Xenopus tropicalis: one gene and its partner. The protein of the gene in region 1 purifies or fractionates together with the protein of each later gene. This does not show direct contact. Links are inferred from orthologs where the notes say so. Each region holds a gene or a part of one and is shown in the gene's direction. Other genes may lie near its edges.

Evidence for each region.
Region 2: the proteins of lzts3 (region 1) and dyrk1a purify together in Homo sapiens (affinity purification with mass spectrometry; 3 studies listed by BioGRID and IntAct, with this or other methods). This does not show direct contact. The link is inferred for Xenopus tropicalis from reciprocal best matches to the Homo sapiens genes LZTS3 and DYRK1A.

The regions. Positions count from the first base shown.
Region 1 is NC_030677.2:12,570,556-12,574,874, reverse strand, and holds the start of lzts3 (leucine zipper putative tumor suppressor 3), read left to right. Parts: upstream 1-1,391; 5' UTR 1,392-1,630; intron 1,631-4,319. UniProt on the Homo sapiens protein: May be involved in promoting the maturation of dendritic spines, probably via regulating SIPA1L1 levels at the postsynaptic density of synapses.
Region 2 is NC_030678.2:12,495,219-12,497,697, reverse strand, and holds part of dyrk1a (dual specificity tyrosine-phosphorylation-regulated kinase 1A), read left to right. Parts: intron 1-1,061; coding exon 1,062-1,670; 3' UTR 1,671-2,479. UniProt on the Homo sapiens protein: Dual-specificity kinase which possesses both serine/threonine and tyrosine kinase activities. Exhibits a substrate preference for proline at position P+1 and arginine at position P-3.

The DNA.
Region 1 (4,319 bases):
AGTGTGGGGGAGGGGCAGAGCCATGAGAGGCAGGTTACAGGGTGCAGGGAGTTATATCAAGGTACCGAGTGTGGGGGAGGGGCAGGTCCATGAGAGGCAGGTTACAGGGTGCGGGGAGTTATATCAAGGTACATAGAGTGGGGGAGGGGCAGAGCCATGAGAGGCAGGTTACAGGGTGCGGGGAGTTATATCAAGGTACAGAGAGTGGGGGAGGGGCAGACCCATGAGAGGCAGGTTACAGGGTGCGGGGAGTTATATAAAGGTACAGAGAGTGGGGGAGGGGCAGGTCCATGAGAGGCAGGTTACAGGGTGCGGGGAGTTATATCAAGGTACAGAGAGTGGGGGAGGGGCAGAGCCATGAGAGGCAGGTTACAGGGTGCAGGGAGTTATATCAAGGTACCGAGTGTGGGGGAGGGGCAGGTCCATGAGAGGCAGGTTACAGGGTGCGGGGAGTTATATCAAGGTACAGAGTGTGGGGGAGGGGCAGGTCCATGAGAGGCAGGTTACAGGGTGCAGGGAGTTATATCAAGGTACAGAGAGTGGGGGAGGGGCAGAGCCATGAGAGGCTGGTTACAGGGTGCAGGGAGTTATATCAAGGTACAGAGAGCGGGGGAGGGGCAGAGCCATGAGAGGCAGGTTACAGGGTGTAGGGAGTTATATCAAGGTACAGAGAGCGGGGGAGGGGCAGAGCCATGAGAGGCAGGTTACAGGGTGCAGGGAGTTATATCAAGGTACAGGGAGTGGGGGAGGGGCAGGTCCATGAGAGGCAGGTTACAGGGTGCAGGGAGTTATATCAAGGTACAGGGAGTGGGGGAGGGGCAGGTCCATGAGAGGCAGGTTACAGGGTGCGGGGAGTTATATCAAGGTACAGGGAGTGGGGGAGGGGCAGGTCCATGAGAGGCAGGTTACAGGGTGCGGGGAGTTATATCAAGGTACAGAGAGTGGGGGAGGGGCAGAGCCATGAGAGGCAGGTTACAGGGTGCGGGGAGTTATATCAAGGTACAGAGAGTGGGGGAGGGGCAGAGCCATGAGAGGCAGGTTACAGGGTGCAGGGAGTTATATCAAGGTACAGAGAGCGGGGGAGGGGCAGAGCCATGAGAGGCAGGTTACAGGGTGCAGGGAGTTATATCAAGGTACAGAGAGCGGGGGAGGGGCAGAGCCATGAGAGGCAGGTTACAGGGTGCAGGGAGTTATATCAAGGTACAGAGAGTGGGGGAGGGGCAGAGCCATGAGAGGCAGGTTACAGGGTGCAGGGAGTTATATCAAGGTACAGAGAGCGGGGGAGGGGCAGAGCCATGAGAGGCAGGTGCTGACCCGGTGGGGGGAGTGGCCAGGGACCGCTGGGCGGGGCAGAGGGCGGAGCGCCAATCACACTGACAGACCGATGCTCTCGGTGGCACAGCTGGCAGATCGGTGCGATTGAGCCCCTCCCCCAGTAGCACAGCCCAGACTGACAGGGAGCGGAGGGAGGAGAGACAGTCTGGGCATCTCACAGCCGGGAGCGCCACCATGTCCCGGGGAGTCACCCCCAGCCGCTAAACCTTCCCCCCAGCCCCCGGCAATGAGCCCATCTGCCCCCGCCCCGGGCTGCTGCAGGGAAGATGCCGGCCCCAAGCCCCAGCACTGGCAGGTAAGTGTCTCCTCCGGGATCGGCACAAACACACAGCCGCACTGCAGCACTGCCCCCCCTCCTACTGGCACTGCCCCCCCCCTACTGGCACTGCCCCCCCCCTACTGGCACTGCCCCCCCTACTGCACTGCCCCCCCCTACTGGCACTGCCCCCCCCCTACTGGCACTGCCCCCAGCTACTGGCACTGCCCCCCAGCTACTGGCACTGCCCCCCTACTGGCACTGCCCCCCCTACTGGCACTGCCCCCCCCTACTGGCACTGCCCCCCCCTACTTGGCCCTGCCCCCCCTACTGAGCCGCCCCCCCCTACTTGGCACTGCCCCCCCCCCCTACTGGCACTGCCCCCCTACTGGCACTGCCCCCCCTACTGGCACTGCCCCCCCCTACTGGCACTGCCCCCCCTACTGCACTGCCCCCCCCTACTGGCACTGCCCCCCCCCGCTACTGGCACTGCCCCCCCTACTGGCACTGCCCCCCAGCTACTGGCACTGCCCCCCTACTGGCACTGCCCCCCCTACTGGCACTGGCCCCCCCTACTGGCACTGCCCCCCCTACTGGCACTGCCCCCCTACTGGCACTGCCCCCGCTACTGCACTGCCCCCCCTACTGGCACTGCCCCCCCCTACTGGCACTGCCCCCCCAGCTACTGGCACTGCCCCCCAGCTACTGGCACTGCCCCCCCCCTACTGGCACTGCCCCCCCCAGCTACTGGCACTGCCCCCCCAGCTACTGGCACTGCCCCCCCAGCTACTGGCACTGCCCCCCCCAGCTACTGGCACTGCCCCCCCCTACTGGCACTGCCCCCCCCAGCTACTGGCACTGTGTCCCCCCCCCAGCTACTGGCACTGCCCCCCCCCCAGCTATTGGCACTGCCCCCCAGCTACTGGCACTGCCCCCCCAGCTACTGGCACTGCCCCCCCAGCTACTGGCACTGCCCCTCCAGCTACTGGCAACTGCCCCCCAGCTACTGGCACTGCCCCCCAGCTACTGGCACTGCCCCCCCAGCTACTGGCACTGCCCCCCCCCAGCTACTGGCACTGCCCCCCCCCTACTGGCACTGCCCCCCCCAGCTACTGGCACTGCCCCCCCAGCTACTGGCACTGGCCCCCCCTACTGGCACTGCCCCCCCAGCTACTGGCACTGCCCCCCCCAGCTACTGGCACTGCCCCCCCCCTACTGGCACTGCCCCCCCCAGCTACTGGCACTGCCCCCCTACTGGCACTGCCCCCCCCTACTGGCACTGCCCCCCCAGCTACTGGCACTGCCCCCCCCAGCTACTGGCACTGCCCCCCCACTGGCACTGCCCCCCCTACTGGCACTGCCCCCCCAGCTACTGGCACTGCCCCCCCCAGCTACTGGCACTGCCCCCCCCGCTACTGGCACTGCCCCCCCCAGCTACTGGCACTGCCCCCCCCAGCTACTGGCACTGCCCCCCAGCTACTGGCACTGTGTCCCCCCCCAGCTACTGGCACTGCCCCCCCAGCTACTGGCACTGTGTCCCCCCCCCAGCTACTGGCACTGCCCCCCCCAGCTATTGGCACTGCCCCCCAGCTACTGGCACTGCCCCCCCCAGCTACTGGCACTGCCCCCTCCAGCTACTGGCACTGCCCCCCAGCTACTGGCACTGCCCCCAGCTACTGGCACTGCCCCCCCCCCAGCTACTGGCACTGCCCCACCTAGCTACTGTCACTGCCCCCCAGCTATTGTCACTGCCTCCCCCAGCTACTGGCACTGTCTCCCCCAGCAATAGGCACTGCCACCCCAGCTACTGGCACTGCCCCCCCCCGCATGGGACCCGGGGGGTACATATTCCTAAACTGGCACCTACGGGCACACCTAGGCTTCACCTTTAACATTTATATGGCTGTATCCCTCCTACATATCTCTCCCTCCTATATACATCCCCCCCAGCCCTGTATCCCTCCTATATACATCCCCCCAGCCCTGTATCCCTCCTATATACATCCCCCCCCAGCCCTGTATCCCTCCTATACACATCCCCCCCAGCCCTGTATCCCTCCTATATACATCCCCCCCAGCCCTGTATCCCTCGTATACACATCCCCCCAGCCCTGTATCCCTCCTATACACATCCCCCCCAGCCCTGTATCCCTCCTATATACATCCCCCCCCAGCCCTGTATCCCTCGTATACACATCCCCCCCAGCCCTGTATCCCTCCTATATACATCTCCCCCCAGCCCTGTATTCCTCCTATATACATCTCCCCCCAGCCTTGTATCCCTCCTATATACATCTCCCCTAGCCCTGTATCCCTCCTATATACATCCCCCCAGCCCTGTATCCCTCCTATATACATCCCCCCAGCCCTGTATCCCTCCTATATACATCCCCCCCAGCCTTGTATCCCTCCTATATACATCCCCCCAGCCCTGTATCCCTCCTATATACATCCCCCCAGCCCTGTATCCCTCCTATACACATCCCCCCCAGCACTGTATCCCTCCCATATACATCCCCCCTAGCCCTGTATCCCTCCTATATACATCCCCCCAGCCCTGTATCCCTCCTATATACATCCCCCCCAGCCCTGTATCCCTCCTATACACATCCCCCCCAGCACTGTATCCCTCCCATATACATCCCCCCTAGCCCTGTATCCCTCCTATATACATCTCCCCCCAGCCCTGTATTCTCTTATGTACATCTCCCCCAGCCCTGTATCCCTC
Region 2 (2,479 bases), on another chromosome or scaffold:
TATATATTTCCAATATATTTTATTGTAAATTAGAAAGCACAGAGGGCATTTACAAACCGGATTGACATCTAGGTACTAAGTCTAGTGACGGGCGAAATTCGTCAGGCATGGATTTGCAGTGAATTTCCATGTTTCGCCATTGGAGGATTATTTTGCAAAACAGGCGACAAAATTCACTGCGTAAAAATTCTGTGCTCTACAAAAAATTTTCGACCACGTTGCAAAAAATTTCCGCACGTGGAAAAAAATGACACTAGTAATGTCCTCTCCATTAACGACAGAATGATTGTGCCCCAGCCTTTGGCACTTTAGTGTTGGTCATAACCAGAGCATTATGCTGGGCTACAGGGTCAATTACATGGGAAGCTCACTAGCCATAGTTGTTTTCATGTATTTAAAACTTCAGATTTAGTAGATATTGACTGTCCCTGCAGAGGGATAATGGGCCAGTCCACTGGTAAGTGTGTGATTGCTGTTTATCAAATCCTTGCTCAGGGCCACTAACAATGGGTGCTTTTTGGGGTGGTTGCATGGCAGCCCTGGGGGTTTTGTGTCTTTATATTCGGTGCTTTAGTCACCATTCCAGTTACTGCATGACCTGTTCTGGCACTGACCCGAAGAAGCTCAGGTACCTGTGTAAGTGCAGATGTAGAACCATGGTTTCCTAAACAGTCTTTATCTTCAACAAGAGCCCAAAAAGAAGGGTTATTGCAGGACTTGTTTTCTTCTCCCTCTAGTTTTATATAATAATATTTATGTTATTTGTAGCACTAAACAGTACAGAACAGAGACACTGAAAGCACTTTCATTTGACATTGATCCCATTTGGCCTTCCCAGCCAATCACCCTTTATTATGAACTTCCTCTCTGTAGACCCAGGAGACAGCCAACCACTGGGGGAAATCTTAAGGTTTTATATTATACAGATCATTATTTCCAAGGCTTAGGTAGTGTTTAAAAATAAAACCAAGAAAAAAAAACAATGACTTTATTTCCTGTGCTGTGTAGGGAGCTGTATATGTGCATTTATCTGTGTTTTAACCTTTTTTTCCCTTCCTTAGGTTCGACAACAGTTTCCTCCTGGTTGGACCGTCCCTGAAGCCCCTACGCAGGTCACCATTGAAACACACCCTGTCCAAGAAACAACATTTCATGTCCCCCCTTCCCAGCAAAATGTACCGCATCACCATGGGAATGGCTCCCACCACCATCACCACCACCATCATCACCACCACGGACAGCATGTCTTGAGTAACAGGACGAGGACCAGGATCTACAATTCTCCATCAACTAGCTCCTCCACCCAGGATTCTATGGATGTCGGTCACAGCCACCACTCCATGACATCCTTGTCTTCCTCAACTACTTCTTCCTCAACATCTTCCTCTTCTACTGGCAACCAAGGCAATCAGGCCTACCAGAATCGTCCTGTGGCTGCTAACACCTTGGACTTTGGACAGAATGGAACTATGGATGTTAATTTAACTGCCTTTTCAAACCCTCGCCAAGAGACTGGCATCACTGGACATCCAGATTACCAATATTCTGCAAATACAGGCCCCGGCCACTACGTAACGGAAGGACACTTAACGATGAGGCAAGGGATGGACCGAGAAGACTCTCCCATGACAGGAGTTTGTGTTCAGCAGAGTCCTGTGGCAAGCTCGTGACTAAATTCAATCTAGGTTTGTTTGGTTTTTTTTTTTTTTGTGTGTGGGTTTGTTTTCTCTCTTTTTTTTTATTTTTTTTTATTTTTCCTTTTGTTTTATTTGTTTTTAGAAGTTTTTTTTTTTCCAAGAAAAAAAAACTAAAAAAAAAAAAAAAACAAAAGCAAAAACAAAAAAAAAAGTGCAAAAGCTGCTTTAATCAGAAGGAGATAAACACACTTAAACCGCTACAACAGGGAAAAGCTGACTATTTTTTTAAACTTGAAAAAAAAAAACAAAAACAAAACGATTGCAAAGGGACAATGAAGTGAAACGATTTTTATTTTTTTAACGAGCTGTTTCCAAACACACCTTATTGGATAGCTCCGAGGTAATTTCCTCTCCCTTTTGCTTCCCAACCCCCGCCCCACCCTTCCCCACCCATTAAACTCTGTACACTCGTATCATAATAATTTTATAAAATGATATATATATGTATTTGTATATACATATATATTTATATATTTTAACCATAGTAAGTTATACTGAACATAGTCAGTTGCCAACATGATAAAAAGCAACATTATCAAAAACAAACAAAAAAATGCACCTCTTTGGGTCCCCTCGGGGGGGCTTAATGGTCCATCGAAACTTGGGCACAGATATGCAGTACTGTAAGAGAGAGGAACCTTCGACCTCCTAAACACACAAACCATAGTCAAAGGGACGGGTGTCACACACAGTCAACTTGCTAAGATGGCGGTCAACGTGCTAAGATGGCGGTCAACGTGCTAAGATGGCAGTCAACGTGCTAAGATGGCGGTCATCAGAAT